Linked DNA regions of Lepisosteus oculatus. The protein of the gene in region 1 purifies or fractionates together with the protein of each later gene. This does not show direct contact. Links are inferred from orthologs where the notes say so. Each region holds a gene or a part of one and is shown in the gene's direction. Other genes may lie near its edges. The genes, in order: mtmr4 and dnajc10.

What was found.
Region 2: the proteins of mtmr4 (region 1) and dnajc10 purify together in Homo sapiens (affinity purification with mass spectrometry; 3 studies listed by BioGRID and IntAct, counting the BioPlex papers as one, with this or other methods). This does not show direct contact. The link is inferred for Lepisosteus oculatus from reciprocal best matches to the Homo sapiens genes MTMR4 and DNAJC10.

What each region holds. Positions count from the first base shown.
Region 1 is NC_090721.1:3,717,785-3,727,320, forward strand, and holds the start of mtmr4 (myotubularin-related protein 4), read left to right. Parts: upstream 1-5,937; 5' UTR 5,938-6,258; coding exon 6,259-6,303; intron 6,304-9,536. UniProt on the Homo sapiens protein: Lipid phosphatase that specifically dephosphorylates the D-3 position of phosphatidylinositol 3-phosphate and phosphatidylinositol 3,5-bisphosphate, generating phosphatidylinositol and phosphatidylinositol 5-phosphate.
Region 2 is NC_090707.1:18,364,828-18,374,897, forward strand, and holds the start of dnajc10 (dnaJ homolog subfamily C member 10), read left to right. Parts: upstream 1-5,704; 5' UTR 5,705-6,253; intron 6,254-7,388; 5' UTR 7,389-7,510; coding exon 7,511-7,729; intron 7,730-7,839; coding exon 7,840-8,005; intron 8,006-8,447; coding exon 8,448-8,498; intron 8,499-8,612; coding exon 8,613-8,695; intron 8,696-9,433; coding exon 9,434-9,565; intron 9,566-10,070. Other genes in the region: nucleoporin NUP35, read right to left, coding at 1-41, 3,391-3,526, 3,968-4,028, 4,115-4,242, 4,722-4,892, 5,425-5,437. UniProt on the Homo sapiens protein: Endoplasmic reticulum disulfide reductase involved both in the correct folding of proteins and degradation of misfolded proteins.

The sequences.
Region 1 (9,536 bases):
TTACTGCGTAACATTGCATTAGTGTTTTGGAGTTGGGATGTTTATTATAACAGCCTCATTGTTGTGAAGTTTCACCGTTGGATCATTAACAAGTGAGTCTGATTGTGTGTAATGAGTGTCTTCCTGCAAGCTTTCATATCGGTACTCAGCATTTTATTTTCACTGCTTATGAAATCTATAACAAAAATCTGGAAAGCTTGTTAGGAAGCAGCAATAGTTATGCATTGCTGGGCTTCCCCGTTACTAATTGAGGAGCATTTTACAGAGCAGTCACTTTTTGTTATATAGGTTTAGGTGTTAATTCAGTCAGCCTTTGCATATCGAGTGTTAGTGCTGGCAGGAGTTCTGTGGTCTGTGCTTCTGAATGTAATTGTTAAAGAAATGAATTGCAATAGAGAGTGAGGTGCTTTGCCCTGCTAGAGGGTTTGAAGCAGAGATTAGATACTGTGCAGCTTCTTAAGACTGGAGAGCAGGAGTTGTTCAGTGGCAGATAGCTCATCCAACAATCATGGTAGTAACACGGATGCGATGATGCGTGCTCTGGGAATTCAGCACTCATAATGATTCACATTCATCTATTTTCCCATCGCTTCTTCCAGTTCAGTGTCATGGGGGAACCTGAGTCTATCCCGGCAAGCACAGAGCAGGTTAATGTGTATTTTTTGTAACATAAAGTATTGCCTAATGCAGTATATTACTGATGGTGTGACGGGTGAGACTGTAGAGGAGAAGGCTATTGCTCCTGGGAAGAAATCTTACATGACAAGTTTCTAGAAATCAGTTTTAGCTGATGAAGGCTACTCCTATCGACAGATGGCAGCCCAGCTCCATCTGCTTTTCTCTGAGGAAGGAGATCCAGACTCGCCAATCCTGATACTCCATTCCCCGCAGTAAGGGTCTGTTTGATGGTTGATCTTGTGAATGACTTTGCCATAGAGGAGTTTTCTTCCTGAAAAGTACAATTCATACGAGCACAGAATAGTCTCAAAGGAAGGGTGTTTGCTTTAGGAAGGCAGCATGCCCTGGTAAAAGATCACAGACAGATCCAAGTCGGATCTGTTTGGCAGTGATCAGTGGCAGTTCGTTTGAAGGCACAGTGGAGAGCAGTGTAACGGTGTAGAACGGAGGTGTGTCTCGTCCTGGGGTATCAGGGATAACCTGTCCTCTGACGGGTCTCGCAGGTCCAGCATTTGCCTTCCAACATGACCGTGACCTCAAGTGTGCAGCCAGTTTGTGGAGGAACTTTGGCTTCTATACACTGGCTGGCCTTGGTGTGCACAAAGTCCTGACATGGACGCCAGGGGTCGCGCAGGATTGCATGTATACTGCAAAGCTGGCTAAGCAAGTTGGCCAGATTGTGGGACGAGTTCCAGGCTGTTTGGAGCATCCTTCCACAGAGCCAAGATGTAAAGCTCTGTGTTGAACAAAGGGCCTCCATTACAAATACTGAATTAGAAATCAATTAGTATATTTTTATAATTAAACATGCTGTATGGATTATCCATATTTCAATTTCCATTACATATCAGTTTTCCTTTGTTTCCATAATTATTTGCCATATTGAATCCAGGGATTCTGGGATATAGTTGTGTACAGTGTCTTCATTTACTCTTTTGTTTCAGTGAGAAAACCATTAAAATTTGGAGTAGTAGTCAGATGTTGATTTCTGTCCAAGTGAAGTCTGATGTTTGTTTTTTAAACTGTTTATAAAACATTCATGCATACAGCATGAACAGTGCTATATGCCTTCATGTTAGTAGCATCATGGTTTTCAGTGTGAGGTGAATAAGAACCGAAGCAGAACGGAAAGAAATGGACACATACGCGTGACCTGCCATTATTGTGATTGAATTAAAAACAAATTAAAAGCACTTCTTCCCGCTAGTCGTTTGCTGTAGCAGATGGCTTCCCAGTTAACACGGTTGTTGATTAGCATTTCAAAATAATCCTTGAAATATTATTTCATCTTAATGGTGTTAATGGAGGCTTTTCAAAAAAAGAGGAAGTCTTCCATTTTAGATGCATGACCCAAGGGGATCCAGATTCACCCGATATCTTGTTAATTTGCCGTGAACACCTTTAGCTTAAACAGGAGTTACAGATTCAAACAGCATCAGCATCTTTCCAAAACGAAACGGTGCAGTCAATCATGGTACCTGTCGTTCTTCTGCTTCCTGAGCCCTTTCCTTTCCTGTTAAATCCTGCGTCTCGTGAGAGGTACAGTTGCCCTGGTTTGGAGCTTCAGATTTAGTCATTTATCAAAGGCATATTCCATAATGGATCAATGGCTGATGGCACTTGTCCTGTGGGGTATGCTAATAAGTTCCAACGAGGGTGTGCCTGACTTGATTAAGCAAGAAAGCTCCCAGAGGGAATGCTGTGGTGTTCTACTAGGAGTTGAGAAAGCAGGCTAGTTTCCTGATCTCTCTTTAAATGCATATCTAGTGAGACTGGGACCTCTACACATAATTATTCAGTGTATTGGTACAGTAACCAAACATTAGGTTTGCCTGCATTCATAGGAATAAAATTCACCCTCGTTGCACACTCAGCTTGCAAGTCAGAGGCTTATGGCTGCTGAGCTGCACGGGGAGGCTGCTGTTTGGAAAACCAGGATGAACGCTGTTACTAGGACTTAAAATTAAAACATCTCCCCTCTAGTAGCATTATTTTTGCATTCTGTAAATTCTGTGGGGCACTAGAAGAAGTATATTCTAATCAAGCTGTCGTTTAAGGGACAGGCACCCAAGGTTAAAAAGAAAAAACCCTCTGTATACATCTATTAGGAACAGCATACTGTAGTACTGGAGTTTGACATTTGTTTAGGATGTTGACGTGAGTATGCAGTCAAATATAACTGTTGTGGAACTGTTTTACTCAGAATTAAATGAGCAAATAAGAGAAGCCACAGCTAACTGTATCCATTGTCTTTATTTTCCCTAATTTAACAGGTCAGTTGTTATTTAAACCCTTCAAAGTCTGATAAATTAAATGCAGAGTTTACCTTGTTGAGAGTTACTATGGTATTGTGATGATTTAAAACTTTAGTTTCCTGTTCTTAAATGTGCGGTTAGACTAACACTGCTTATTTTATCATTAAAGTCCACTAGGGTGAATCAAGGCAATATGGCGTTTTTTAAAAAATAAAAAGTAAATTGTGGAGATTTTCACTTTTAAAAATTGGATACTTGTGATCTGTGTTCATAATCCACTGTTTAAGTCCTTATTCTAGTGTGCAATTTGAGAAGGTGTGTGGCCTCTCTGTTGTGCAGATTTAGTGAACTGTGCAATACCTTGCAAGTCTTTACTTGCAAGTCTTAACAGCAGAGAATCTGGAAACCCTTCTAAAGGTGCAATGATTTATTTTTAAAAAAGAGGTGGGTGGGGTTCTGTTATCAAGTCATTTTTATCATTTTCCACCTGAAAGCGGAACAAAATTGAGTTTACATGGACTGAACCTGTTTGCAAAAGCATGAAACAAGTGTTGAGCTTGTCCTTTTGTAATTCGTTAGAACTTTGCCATGTTCTAATGGGAACTGAAAGGAACAATAGGGCAATTTTGCTTTTCATTGTTTTCTCTGTACTGAATTGCTTTGGAACAGCTGTGAAGCCTGACTGGGTCTGACATCAGTTTCCAGTCAGATGTGCAGGTAAATATTGTCCCCTTTGTTTCGCAACAGGAATTGATGTCACCTGCTTGGTTATGAAATTCATGATAATGTCACCTGCATGTTTTGTGCTGTTGTTGCTTTTGGAAACAATGAACCTGTGCTAAACATACAGCCCTAAAAAAAAAGTGTGGAGCAGTACTGTACTTATAAGTACTTTGGTCCTGTAACCCAGAATTGTGACCCTGAGACAAAGGGGCTTGAAAGCAATGGGCATCATTCACTATGATAAGTGAAAAATCCATCCTGCTGCCTTCTGGTGCTTCAGACATGTTGACATGCAGGCTCACGTGGTGAAAAGCACATGACCTGACCACATGTGTCAGAGGCTGCGAGTGCACTCGCTTAATCTGTCTTGCGCTTGGTACGCTGGCTGTCTGCGCAAGATGAGGAGATTAAAAATGTGAAACTCCAAATTGCGTGTTGGGGGCAGGGGTGGGGGGGTGGATCGAAAGGAAAAACAAATGTCATCTCCTGCAAGGGTGGGGTTTGGTGCTGTTCCCACTGGAAAGAGCTGATGGGGCTAAAAAAAAAAAACGTTTTGCATTTTCAACAGGACTTCTTAAAACATGTCATCAGCTGGCATTCTTGTATCAAGCTGGGGCAGGCTGCCTTTTCTACCACTGCCAGATGTGTCAGAGAAGAAGGGGCAGCTTTCAGGGCCTTTCTGCCCCCCTACTGGGCATCGCCTGGCACAGCCGGAGCAGAGATGAGTCATGCTTCCCAGCTTTGTGTGGTTGGAACTTCAGCATCCTCTTGCTGTAGCGTTGAATAAGCAGCACAGAAACAAAATTCAGCTTTGTGAGTTGAATATTGTGTGGTCTTTCCCCGGCCAAAGATTTAAAATGCTTTGATGTGGTTTGCAGTAACGTGAATGCAGTTTTTAATGACTTAGTGGCTCAGCTGCTCTACAAAGAGAGCTATACCATAGTAGCTGGCAGGTTTTGCCAATCAGTATCGCTCTGAACTTGCTTGTTGGCTGTCCTAAGAGATTTAGTTTGTGCAAGTGAATGCATTAAATGACTTAAGCCCCAAAAATCTCTTAAGGCCTCAATTTCCAAAAGTCTCTGCATTAAACAGGCATAGGCTGAAAATCTTGGAAATGCTGGTTTTAAGACGAAAATAACTAAAGATTAATTGTATGTCTGGCTCTATTCTTTCTCTTCAGTGTTTTTGATTAGCTGCAGGGTTATGGTTAATATAATCATAGAAGATCTATTCTCCCCACTTTGCAAGCTGACTGTGCATTAATTTGTCTCTCTCTTAAAACTGGTATCTCTTTTTTTTATATGAAAATGTTTCACCTGACAGTTCCAATGCATTAGTGATATGAACAGTTCAATGTCAACCCAAGTCACGTGCAGCTCTTAAGATGTCAAGCACCGGCTCGATAAATATGCTTCTGCGAAAGACATACCGTATACCAGTTGGGCAGTAAATGTTTCCTAAAGGCAGCTGTGAGTTATGACCCTTGGACAGCGTTGCAGTACCGCATGTAGTGTTCTGTAGCTGCTGCAGTGTGCAGGAGCTCTGCAGCAGTGTGTGATATTGATGCAGTTTACTGTGGCAGTGACTCATCGCAGCATGGGCCAGGACAGTAGAGGAGGAAGCAGGCAGAGAGAGAGAGAGTACTGTGCAGCAGAATGCTGTGTCATTGATGCTCAGTGGTGATTCCTGCCGTCTTCTGGCCTCGCATACGGTGCTAAATGTTGACGTGCGCTGCTGCAAAAGGTGCTACAGCAACAGGAAGATGCTGCTTAGCACAGCAGGAAAGGAAAATGAAACGTAGAGCCATTCAGTCACTTGCGTGCACACTCCTCCTCTCCCACCCTACCTCGTCTCGGAAATAAACACGATTGCATCATCGGGTCCTCTGTGTGAGCAGTTCCTTGCTAGCCTCCTTCAGGGAAGCAGATTGTGTCTTAGCTTGTGTCGCCAGCCTGTGTCAGTCAGGATTACAGTACTGTAGGTTTTGGTCGGGGGTGTGGGATAAAATACCGGGTCTTTACAAGAGAATCTAGCTGCTGTTTCTGCCAGGCAGACGGATTTTGATTTCTGTCTCCTTCAGCCTTCCGCTGCTCTCCAGGCAGCACGTCGGGCGTGACAACCCTCTCCCTGCTGGCCGCGTCTTCTACAACGCTATGGAGGTCGTGTGGCGAGGAGGCAGGCTGGATCAGGAGGGGGCTGGGGAGGGGGATGAAGTGAGAGAGCGAGGAAGGGGGGAGAAGAGGGGGTGCTAGTTGGAGGTGGAGTCTCGTCGGGAGCCCCTCCCTCCCCTTTCCTCTCTCTCTCTGTCTCCACATCACTCCTTGCTGTTTGCCTGTGCACCTGCTGGCGCGCTTGTTTTTTATCCCAGCCGACCGGAGAGGGGAATCTGCCTGGTTTTGTCATGGACGCTCCTGTTGTTTGCTGCCGCTGAGACACAGAAGGAGCCTGCGGGGGCCTGGGGCAGCACTGGCAGGGGCAGAGGGGGGTTGCCGTGAGGACCAGGGCAGTGCTGGGGAAGAATGGTTTTGCCGGCACTGTATAATCTGGCCATACTGCTTCCCTGGCTGTGGGTCTCTCCGGCACAGCCCACCTTTCTCTGAACATGAGCCTGGCTGCACGCGTTTCCTGCTCTATGCTGAACTGCTTTGTAAGTCTGCTCTTCCATTCCATTCCTTTTCCTCTGGGTTGTGTTTTGCACCCTCACTTCTGCAGGAGTCGCCTGGTTAAGGCACAGCTGCACGAACGCCTGGAGTGTCGCGACTGCTGTTTTCCCAGAGATGGGACGGCTTTCTGACTGGAAATAGGGAAGTTATTTGAAAGAAGGTGATGGTTAGGAAACGGGCTGTTAAGCTGTGTGCATGGGAAAGGGAGTCGAATATGTGGGTTTTTTTGTTTTGAGGGGGAGGAAATATAATCTTTGGAAACAGTTGTGTAAATGAAAACACTGTTTTGTCCTTCAAGCAAACCCGCACACCTTTATGCACGTGAAGGAGTGTCTAGGATTTTCCTTGTGAATAGACATTCCTTTTTGTTTTCAAATGTTAGAAAGGTTAGAACACAGTCTGTGTTCGTGGACTGCAATGTGCAGACTGCTTTCTTGTATTGTGTAGATGGTGGTTGTGGTGGAGGCATGGTGAAGTGAAAAGGTCACGCAGGATGAACTCTGACCTTTACTTTAGAGCGTCCTAGACTGAAGACAGCCAGGACCGCGTCTGTCCATCATGTCGCTGGAATGTGAAGGGTGAGGATGCCTTCATAGCAGCGCTGGAGACGGGATTTGTTATTCTAAACCAAAGGGATGGTGAGAAATTGGAGCTGGGACGCTTGTGATTGCACATTACAGCGTCTGGGTTTCACTTGCTGTGATGCAGCTGGGGCAAGAGCAGGCTGTGGCATTGTCCCCGTCTCTCCGTTAGGCACACATCGGCAAACCCTTCACACTTGAAACAGGAGCACCACCCATAACCACATGGCTGAAGTTTGTGGTAATAAGATGTATTCTTCCGTGAAGAACCATGTCAGTATACTTCTGCTGTGGTATATGAAGTGTTTTTTGCTGGGGAGTTAATTTTAATGCTTTACATGGCAGTTCTGTTGACTGTGCCCTGAAAGTATTCAAAGTTTAAGAAATATTTCCTACATACCTTCCTACAAATCCTTCCTCTGTGCCTGGAGGCACACTCAGTATGATGGAGTACTTGATTTCGGTGATGGAAGACTGTCTATATTTAGTTTGCTACTGTTTTTCTCTGTTAAATTCTGAAGCTTTCAGTAGGACTTTTTTTTACTTCTTTTTGTATTTCAGGATGCAGTTCCAAATGTCCTGGAAGGTTAATAACATGAAGTTCACAAACAATAGAAAGTCCATCTTGTTCATTTGGTAATTACTTTGTTAATTGATTGAAAAAATTTAAGGCTGGTTTTGGTCTGGAGTCTTAAAACATCTGAACACTCAATGTAAGGGAGAAATATTCGTCCAACCCCTGTAGCATGAGCATGTTGTCCTCATCCAGCTGTCCCGTTGGTATTGCCTTCTATGAAATGTTTACTGTACCTCTGTGAAATGCTGTACAGTACTGGAGTTCAGTATGCCATTATTGTATTCAGAACCTACAGAAAAAGTCAACACAGTTACATTAGAATTTTTCTATTAAATAGGAAATTTAAAGAGAATTCACTTTCGTTGGTGTGTACTAAACTGGAGCAATAGATTGTTGTATAAACTGCAGACGACCTGTCTGAAAAGGTTTTGCTCTGTGCTTTGTTTTTCAAAGGGCACTGTGCTCTAATGCATCTGCCTAAATAAAACCCAGGTGTAATTGGAGCTCCAAATAAATTTTGCATTGCTGTGCTGGAGTGCTAGCGCAGCCCGTTTGAACACAAATATATTGGACGCCACGGTTCCAGGCAGCCCTCGCTGTGAGACAGCAGATGGGCTTGGCTGTCATTCCTGTTTCTCCACTGCTGTCTTCAGAGGCTCTCTTGCGCTGTCCTTCTTAATTCTCAAGGATAGCCCTTGGACTGCTCTTCAAACAGCCCGCGCGCGCTCTCTAGACCTGCAGTACAAGAAGAAAATGTTTCTGGGGGGGGGGGGGAAATGGAAGAGTGAACTTTTGTGCCTTTGTGCCTTAGAAGGGCTGAGGGGTGGTTTTTGAAGTGCTGGTCCCTAAGTCGTTCACAGCCGACCTCCAGCAGTGCTCTGCCAGGTTCTGCCAGACTCTGTTAGTGACCGGGGTCTTCAGCCAGACAGGGCCCATCTGCTTAGATAGAGTAGAGAAGTGTCCCAGACATACGCATTCTGCCACTGCTGTAGTGTTCCAGCTTGGTCTCTGTCATTCCTGTTGTTTCAGAGGGCTTTTTATCTGGGCTGACTGTGAAAGCATCATAAGAGGGGAGATCCTCAGTGACCCTCAATGGGTTTTACTTTCCCATCTAGAAAGCGATTTATCCATCTAGCAGGGCTTTCCTCCGTGGCTCACCTTTTACAAACTGCTCCCAGACTTCTGAGATATGAGCAGCGCAGACTGAAACCCTTTAGAAAGTTGAAGCCAAGCCTACTGAGGGATAACTTAAGCACCCTAAAATGTCCCAAATGGAGATGTCTGAATCTCTTTGCGGTTCAACAGGCGTGTGTTAAATGTGTTAAACACTAATTTGTTCATTAGAAGAATGTGGTGTCATTTTTTAAATTGATCAATGATGCTTCATGCAGAGAGAAAAAAAATCTTAACTGTCACAACAAAGGCATTGATTTTATTTGCAGTCCAGGGCAGCAGTATGGCAGCACAGTTCAGGATGTGACGAAGGGCTTCGCATTGTTCTCGGCTTCTGCACACATGGTTTGGAATCAAGTTTAGACTTGCACAAGCCTGGTGGTTTGAAATATTTAGCTCTCTCTGAAATATTTAGTTTGGTAATGGGAGGGAAGGAGTGAATGTTCTTGGGCACAGTCTTCCTGTGAACCACACTAGCTCAGGCGCAGACCAGCACAGATGTGTGTGCTTCACGTCGGTCTCTAGGGGAAGCCTTGGTACAGTTTTGGGACAAATAGCATCCCGGCTGATTGCATACACATTGAATGTTAGCTCAGCTTTTCCAGATTTTGCACTGCCTCCGTGTTTTTCTCCCTTCTGTATTTCCGGGCAATCTTAAAGTGACTCGATGCTGTTAAGTAACATTGGAAACAAAGGTTAAAGGAACCTCAGTTTTTTTAAGTGCTGACACATCATGAAAATAATTATTTTTACCTTAACGGAACTTCTTTTTTTAATAATTCCCTTTTTATAAACCCCATTTTCTTCTGCTTATCCTGTTGTTGGCTGTTTTGATTGGTATTTGCCATACAGCCTTGATTTGTAAGCCTTTAAGTTGGCCTGTGTG
Region 2 (10,070 bases), on another chromosome or scaffold:
CAAACTGCAAAAGTATATATGAAGCTGATGCTGGAGGAAACCTATTTAAAAGAATAAATTTAAGAATTAGTATTTCAGATATATTTTACAGTTTCAGACAAAACTTGACCCTACATACAAAACAATATTATTAACCAAATCTTTCAGAATATCACTTATTGAATTACAAAATATTACTTATTGAACTATAAAGATTCATTTTCAGTTTACTTAACAGAGATTCATACTACATTCTATCGAGTAGTGCTCAAGTTTGATGAAATTTACAAAAAAATATGTAAAACATTTCTATGTTTATGTTTACTGTATGCAAATTATTTAGCAAGCATTAGAACAAAATGCTGAAAAAAATAATTTGAAAATGCTTATATTTTGTTACCTAGCATATTTTACACTAATAATTATGTGCAAGTCAACTTTTTTTTTATGAGAGGCTGTGGTATGCTCATTCATAGCACTGTATTAGTCCTTTTGTTCATTCCTTCATCCTGAGTATGAGACATGAAATGCGCAACAAGGTGTTTGGAGACTTGAAAGACAAACAGGTTTGCAGGTTTCAATCAACCTAGAGCAATACCACAACTCGGAAACACAGGGAATGCTGCTAACAGAAACAATAACAAATAACAATAACATAGAAATAACTACAGCTGCCAAAGGTAGAAGCAGAAACCTCACCACAACTTATATTATCTACAGGTTCTGCTGGTATCAAGGGCAGCACCTCTACAAAGATGGTATCATGATTCAAGGTCAATAGGTTGTACAACTGCAGTGTATCAATATAAGACAAGCAGCACTAAGATGTAGGCAAAGGGTGTTGGTTTGTGACTTTTTGCAGTTCTACCTTATCTTGCAATAGGTGGGTCTACATATATTGAAAATGTATATATCGCATTGTATGATTTATCCACTTGAGGTGGTGCAGGAAGCAGAGCTAACCTATGACTTGCCAGAATAAGAAAAGGGGTTCCTTGACCCACATAGCTATCAGAAGGAAGCTTTCATGGGTGTCAAAAACGTGGCTAGAGAAAGTCAGAGGTCAGGTTAGAGAAACTGATAAAATACCAGATATACAATGCCTTGCAAAAGTATTCACCCCCCTTGGACTTTTTCACATTTTATTGTGTTACAGCATGGAAACCTGATGTGTTTAACTGAGATTTTTTACCACTGATCAACACAGTACTCTATAATGTCAAAGAGAAAAAAAATCCAGACATTTTACTAAACTAAAAATAAAAAACAGAAAATAACTGAAAGCATAAGTATTCTCCCCCTTGCTTTGAAGCAGCTAAATTACCCATTAAGTAACCAACTCTCTTCTCCAAGTCACATAATTACTTGACTGGAGTCCACCTGTGTGCATTTGAGGTGTTTCACATGATTGCAGAATAAATACACCTGTGTCTGGCAGCTTCCTTTGAAATGCACTATGGGGGGGAAACACTACATCATGAAGACCAAGGAATGTTCCAAGCAGATCTGAGACGAGGTTCTTGAAAATGACCATTTAGGATATAAGGATATAAGAAAATTTTCAAGGCACTGAATATACCTTGAAGCACAGGGAAGTCCATCATTACAAAGGTGAGAAAATATGGAACAACTGTGAATCTGCCCAGAACTGTCCGCCCTCCAAAACTGAGTGTCCGGGCAAGAAGAGCCATAGTAAGGGAGGCCACCAAGAAGCCTACGGCAACTCTAAAGGAGTTACAGTCCTCCATGACAGAAATGGGAGAAACTATGTATTAGACAACAATAGCACGCACGCTTCATATATCTCGGTTGTACGGAAGGGTTGCAAGAAGAAAGCCTTTGTTGGGAAAAAAAACTCATATTACATCTCGGCTGGAGTTTGCCCAATGGCATGTGAGAGACTCAACAATTTGGAGGAAGATTCTATGGTCTGATGAAACCAAAATTTAACTTTGTCTGGTGCGAACCTAACACAGCATATCACACTGAGAATACCACCATTTGGGGATGCTTCTCTGCGGCAGGGACCGGAAAACTCATAAAGATAGAAGGAAAAATGGATGGAGCTAAGTACAGAACCATCCTGGAAGAAAAGATGCTGTAATCTGCAAGAGCACTGGGACTTGGAAGACGATTCATCTTCCAAAAGGACAATGATCCAAAACATACAGCAAAAGCCACACTGGAGTGCCTTAAAACTAAAAAGGTTAATGTCCTGGAGTGGCAAAGTCAACGCCCAGAACTCAATCCAATTGAGAATCTATGGAATGACTTAAAAATTGGTAATCAAAAATGGTCACCTTCCAACTTGATGGAGCTTCAGCAGTTTTGCCAAGGAGAATGGGTAAGAATTCCAGTGTCAAGATGTGCAATGCTGATAGAGACTTACCGAAAGAAACTCACAGCTGTAATTGCTGCCAAAGGTGGTCCTACCAAGTATTAACTCTGGGATTGGGGAGGAATACTTATGCATTAAATTATTTTCTGTTTTTTATTTTTCATTAATGTAGTAAAATGTCTAGATTTTTTTTTCACCTTGACATTACGAAAAAGAAATTCCTAATCCAAGAAATTGTATAAGGCTAATAAAGAGATCTTATCTTATAGAGTACCTTGTGTTGATGACTGGCGAAAATTTTGTTAAGTACATCATGGTTAAAATAAAATGTGAAAAGGTAACCCCAAGGGGGGGTTAAACAACTTTCGCAAGGCACTGTAGGCCTCATACCTTTACGTACCTTAAGAAAGACAGGTTTAACAGGAATTTAGAAAGGTATATAAACCGCAGAAAATGTCTATTACGTCACTATTGTACTGCGGTTGATCCAAAATGTTGTAGCATTTTCAGGTTTGGAGTTAGTTTGCTGTGTAGTAATCACTACTAGTGATGCTTTGGGAGGCACGAGTCAGTTAAGGTGTTCTGCATCAGCTGCAATAATAAAACTGAAAGTAAGATTACTAGGTAAAATTTCTGAACTTCAAACTATTCACGTTTTTTAGTGGACCTGGTGATTACATACCTTTATATTATTGGTTAGAACTCAACTGTTGTACCCTTGAGCAAGTTACTTTATTCAAATTTCTCCAGTTAATGCCCTGCTCTATAAATAAGCTACTATATTACAAAATTGTGAAATAAAATTTATTCACTTGACTTATCTGGGAAAACAATAAAAAAGAAACCTACAGTATGTGTCCCCTCTTTAAGTAAAATACTAAACTAAAGGGATTTAATCTCGCACCTCTGTGAAATGAAGCATTTTAAATGTTCTTCTCAGAAACATGTTTACAAAAGGTGAAATGATACCACAGTAAACCTAGCTTTAGCCTGTCAGATATCTATCTGGAGTTAGAACTTTTGCAGTGTACAGTATGTGCAATGCAAACTTAAAAAATAGTATTTATATTTACCCAAAAACTGTGACCCAAGTTTCATCTAAATGGTCATCTGAAGAAAGTGCATCCCCCTGGGTATAGAAAGGATCAACTTGGGCTGGAGAGATGGCTGCCCTTCTCTGTTGGCCGAGAGGACTAAATACACTTGATGCTGTTAAAATTCAAACAAGTAGCTGTTTTAGTTCTGTTAGAACCGTGCGTTGCACTTTTCCTTTTCAGATATTACAAGACATATTAGTTGCCGATGGCAAGATAAAAATAGCTATACGTTTTTTGCCTTTACCACCAAATGAAATCTCAAAATGTCTCAAGAGGATGAAATTAAAATTCAACCCACGGTTTAAGCGGACTAGCGATTAGGTCAATTTATTTTGTACCCCCATCATATCATATTTGCAACATAATTTTAATAAACCAAAAGAGCTAGAGGCACAGATTTTTTGTTTAGATTAAAAAAAAAACACTCAGCCCATTAAGCCTTAAAATCAAAAGCACTGTTCCCCAATTTAAAGCACTGCATATGAGATGTTCATGTTATTAACTGATGTTAAAAAAAGATGTCTTGCAAAAGTACTTCAACCATATAATTCACCTGTTCCTGGGGAGGCAGCAGCCAAGGCAGATAATGGGGTCTGTAGCACTGAAAAAGAGGGCTGTGGACAGGAATGGCGATATTTTATTACAGGAAGATGATCAGATAATGTGATAAGAAAATAAATCAACAGTTCTAACTGCTTACTTGCTTCTGCAAACTCAGTGATGATGCCCCAATCCCTGGACATGTTAACTCATCATATATACTTCTAACTGGGGGTGCCCCACTCTTGTCCTTGGGTGTGGGGACAACTGGCTGAGGAGGTGAACCACCTGAGGGGAAAAAAAATTGAGAGAGGCATCTTGCACATGTGCAACACTGAGTTTTACTCTGTGACTATATTTAAATCTCTATTCCTCATCGTGCCGTAACCTTATCTTGTGGTCATTTCTTCTAGTATACCACAGTGTCTTCACATCTTGACTAGCACAGCCAAATACTTACACGGTAGTGAGAAAGGTTGCTCTTACTCCTTCAGAAATGGACATTTCCCCAAAATAAATGGTCTCCATAAATCCATTCTAAATTTTACAGCCCTTTCTCGGCACTTTAAATGTGATTTTACATGCACGTACCTCGATATGTTTTTTGGAACGGAGAACCCCCCCTAAACAATTGGTCAGTGGATTATTTGTTGCGTCCGTCACAGCCAGCAGACCTTCTGCACGAAGCAGACTGGTATAAATTCACACCTGTTACGCCATGTCCCGTAAAATCGTGGATTATGAAGATGAATACATAAACAGCTCACCCGTCATAAGAGGAGACCTCATTTCCATCCCACTGCCGACAGAGCTGCTGAAGGTGCGAGGCTGGGGAGTCACCGGCGCTGGCAGGTCGCCCATCAGAAACCCGGGCAGGAACTGTGCGCCCGAACTGGGCTTTGGGGAGGTTGGCGACCCCAGGGTCATTGGTTCTGTACCTGACAAAGTTAAGATAAATCCGTATATTTGCTTTTATCCGACTCACCTAGAGCTGCCCAAAACACCGTTTCATGGAGACTCTTCCTTGGAATAAAACAAGCCAATACCTCTAAACTTTTTTTGGAGTAGCTTTGAAGGCAATTTATTAACACAGTATAATAGTTCATATATATATATATTGATGACAATAAACAAACATACAAATCTCGAATTAGTATTAGCAAAAATTCATATTGATTATAAAATGTATTAATACCCCTCACGCTATATCCCCTATGTTCAAAAAAAGCGATAAGTCTAGTGTTACTGCAGTTATAACTGTCAACTGGGACACGCCATAAATAGAACAATGTCTCAAAAACTATAAAAATAAAATCAGAATTAGATATTTTATCAATATTGCAGTCTTAACATGACTATTAATTAATTTAGGCCTGAATGAGATTAAGGGAATAACATGGAGCGGTAGATTTTAAAATATATGCATTCCTAACCTCCAAAAGTACAACACTAGAAAAAGACTGTACCCACCTTGAAATTCCATTACAGGCTACCCACAAAACAGTATATAAGGACAGCTGAAAAAGTAAAGCAAGCTGATTTTTCCAATCAAAATGTGCCTAATTTTAGGTTGAAATAGATTCAAATTTTCAAATAATGGCGGAAATCGTGCGCTTTCCAGCAATACCGAGGCATTCTGGGGGTGACGTCATATAAAAGCTGCGGGCAGACTCCTGTTTCATGTGAAGTCGGAAAGGAGTGGGATTTAAAGGGCACGTGTAAAAATTACAACATTATAGTGATTTCACATTTTTATGTATTTTTCGTTTGCATTAAACACATAAAAGATTCCGCTTAGATGCATTACCCTACTATGTATTTAACTTGAACTAACTGAACAAGTATGTATTTAACTTTAACTAATTATTCTAAGCAGAAAATTAAGTCATATTTACGAAAAGAAAATTCCTTATTCCAGAATCGCTGTATAATACATAACCTAAAACTAGCAGAACCACGATTAAAAAGACGCGTTCCTTTCTCTGGTTTTTGAGGTAGTTTCCCATTGGTTAGTGTAACAGGGTCTGTGGTTAACGTGGCACTCACACAACGTTTTAACGTCATCACGGTGGTACACTAAAGTTTCTCTTAGTGTCTGCAAATATACCGGTACCGAAATAACAGGATCTTTACCCGGATAGGCGAGGAGAAGTAATGTTTGCCTTATTATAATTGCCATGTGCTTTCCTTTGTAAGCTGCAGTCTGTATAAGCTTAGATGTTTATGTTATCAGAAAAAAACATTCATTGAAATTTTGGAAACGCTTTAGACTGACATTGGTGCGACGAAACAGGAGTCGGTAAGTTGTCTGTCTACCCATCCTTATATCTAAAGTGATGCACTTTTGTTAGCATATTATCACATAAGGTTAAAAGTGATGCAGATTTAAGAATAGGTATAAGTACTGTATAACCCCAGATTCAGAGCAAGTTTTAATTAAAACGAATAATAAATTTTGTACATGATCTAGCTAATCCTAATAATAACAGCATCAAGATTTTAATAGTTGCATATTTTAATGCTATCTGTTACTAGAAGATAAACACGTTTAATTGAACTGCTTTCATTCCTTGTTCATGTGAATTATAAACAACTGCAACTAGAAATTCCAGTTTGTGAACACAAAACAATTGATTTCTTTCATGTATGTAATTACCTGCTATACACATATTACTGTACATTTAAACCTGAGTTCAGGAGCAATCCTGGTATGATTTTTAGCTAGAATGTATGCCTCCCCATGGGTAAACCATTACAGTTTCCTGGATCTTACAAAGATAACCATCATACCTCATTATCTTCACCCAAGGTTACTTTTCGTTCATAAACCTTGTTACTGTAATAGATGGATTGAAAAAAAATGAACATTCCTGCTTTCATCACACACTGTAGATTATTTTCTGTATAGAAACATTGTGGTGCAGTTACGATGTGTCTTTTTCTAAGTGGAAAAGTGAAGTTTGTTTATTTGTACTTCAGTTTACTTTAGTACTTTGCAGTCTACAAAGACCATTAGTTCCTCATTGACCTCCTCTTCTGCAATAATTTATTCTTCATCAAATCTAAATTGAGGGCATTCATTTTTGGGTACAAATTGTGATTTAATTATTTCATTTAGAATTAACTCACTATGTGTTGTAAAAGGTATGAAATGCTGCCTATTTGGAAAATGTCCGGCACCTCCTGGCTATAAATCATACAATTCTCCCTAAAAATTGAGTTTTTTGTTTAGATTGTTTTCACACCATGGACTGCATCCAAAAACATTAACTTTTAAAATGCTATGCAGTACTGCCAAAATTGATCTAAAGTATAGATAAATGTCCTTTGACAGGATTTAATATCAAAAGGTGTGATGTAGCTCTGGATTTATAGAATCACTATAATGTACAATCATTGTTTGCATAATGTTTTCTCATTTTTTTCCAACATAGATATCTTTAAAACTGTTTGAAGCAAGCAGTTACTGGCACATAGCTGAGGATGAAGATATCGAATTCAGCTTGAGAGCAACTGTGTCTTGAAGGTTGATTGAGTCAGCGGGGAGCAGAACACAATGGAATCAGCACTACTTGCAGAACAAACCTGTTGTGTTTACAGAAGACAGTCAAGCAGAACATTTTTGTACTTTTTTGTTATAATATGTTTGGCTGCTGTTATTTCCTGCAATGATGATTATTATGAGCTACTTGGAGTGTCCAGAGAAGCAAGTAATAGAGAAATTCGACAGGCCTTTAAGAAGCTTGCACTAACAATGCATCCTGATAAAAACCCTGTAAGTAAATATCTCAAAGCATATACAAATTGTACATTGCATGAAATCATAGATATGAAATGTTATTTGTAACAAGGTGTCAAAACTTTGACTGTCCATGTTTTATTTAGAATGATCAGGATGCTCATGACAAGTTCCTGAAGATAAACAGAGCCTATGAAGTTTTGAAAGATGAAGATTTGCGGAAGAAATATGATAAATATGGAGAGAAAGGACTACAAGATAATCAGGAGGGTGGAAGATATGAAAGCTGGAACTATTACCGATATGACTTTGGTATGTCGGCCTAACAACGTCTCACTTTATGTGTGCTGTGTGTTGCTCGCCATCTACTGTATGCTGCGTACAGAAAAGTAAGGCTAATCCAGGATAAAATTGCCCAAGGTATTTATTTCCATAGAACTGAAATATTTTCCCCAGAGGAAAGTGATTTACCTTATTTAATTCAGGATTGAGTGCTTTCTGTGCACTGGGTTTAAATTTTGGTAGATCAGATCTCCTACTCATACGTAAATTTTAAGTGTAGAATCTTAAACAATTGGAAGGCTGAGCTAAAAGTATGTATCCATCTTACATGTGTTTGATAATTTCAAGGTAGAGATTTCTGAAAAGCCTAATTGAAAGTGGAGAATTAAAATATTAATTAATAATGATGTGTCATTTTAGTTTAGAGCTGACTATTGGAATGTTTTTTGATATATTGTTTTCACTTTTACAGGTATATATGATGATGATCTTGAGATCATCACATTGGACAGAGGGGACTTTGGTAAGCATTTTTTATCAGATACTATCAAATAATATAATAGTAAATCTGGCTGTCTGCCTAACATTTGCTGTTAACAGGATGATTTACAGGGGTATTTATTTTGTTATTCATTAGATGCGGCTGTGAACTCTGGAGAGCTGTGGTTTGTGAATTTCTACTTTCCACGCTGCTCACATTGTCATGACTTGGCACCAACGGTGAGAAAACTATTCTTGCACTACGTTTTGTTTTTCTAGAATATTTACAGACATCTTTTAAAATTATATTCCTGCTTTCTAGCTGTCAGTAATCCTGGATCTCTTTGTAAACCTTGAATGATGAGATAGGTACAGAATAAGATATATATTTTAAGTAGATCCTTTCTGGTGAATAAAATGTAATCCGTGAAATTGTTTTTTAGTTTTTGCTGTATTATGGATGTCTTGGTGTGGTAAGCTACACCTGTTGTAGTTTTGTTACAAAGTAGAGTAGCTGATAGCTAAAGGTGTCCTGAAAGGGTTTTAAAAACATTATGCTAGTATCACTGTAAAACCCTAAATATTTAGTTGTTTCTTAAAGAGATTATTATTACTTATTTCTCTTTCAATCTCTAAAAACTACAAAAACATACAAAAGCATCAGAACTACACATCGTATACTCTAGGTGGTCATAAAGGGAAATTAATTCTCTGAGATCAGTGCTTTGTAGGTACTGTAGATGAATTCAGAATCTAAAATGGAAATATGTGGTAACATATTTCTCTCTTTAAATTGATAAGCAAAGATAATAATTTTGTTACCCATAGTGCTGAATAAATATGAAATTAAAATGTGACATAAATTAATTGTCATTTCTTTCTTCTTTCTTGTCATCTCTTGTTTTAGTTCTGCTTGATTTTCATAGCTGTACAAAGGTGTTTTTCCAATCTAAATAATATTTTTTACTCTTACTTTAGTGGAGAGAGTTTGCAAAGGAAATGGATGGTGTAATCAGAATTGGAGCAGTGAACTGCGGTGACAATAGGATGCTGTGTCGAAGTAAAGGCATCACCAGCTATCCAAGCCTGCACATATTTAAAGCTGGAATGGTATGTAGAATATAAGAACTAAAGTGGTAATAAGCCTTTTCATAATCTGTGTTTGAATGTAAACATGTCTGTTTTGGTATGTTTATGGAACACTTAAAATAAGAAATCCCCTTTTTGTTGTAGTACTTAGAAGGTATTAAGGTTGTGCTTATAAAGTATTAGTAGCAGTGTATTAGTTCCAGTAGCATATGCTGTTTTTTAATGCCTCTCAGTATATTACACAGACAGTTAAAGGGGAATGAACGCTATTCTTATATTTCAGGGTTAGAAAGAGTGCGTTTCAAACCACAATGAAAGTAAAATGTACACAGTAACGTGTATATTTCTGGTGACATGTTGCAGCCTTATTACTTGTTAGCAAACAGGCTTGTGGATACATTTCTTTGAATCCAAGAGAAAAATTGCTTTCAATTTTTGTTTTTTTCCGACATACAGTATACTACTTACTTATTAATTCTGCACTCAGATCATGTTGGAACATTTCGGCGGTAAAATGTCTGCTGCA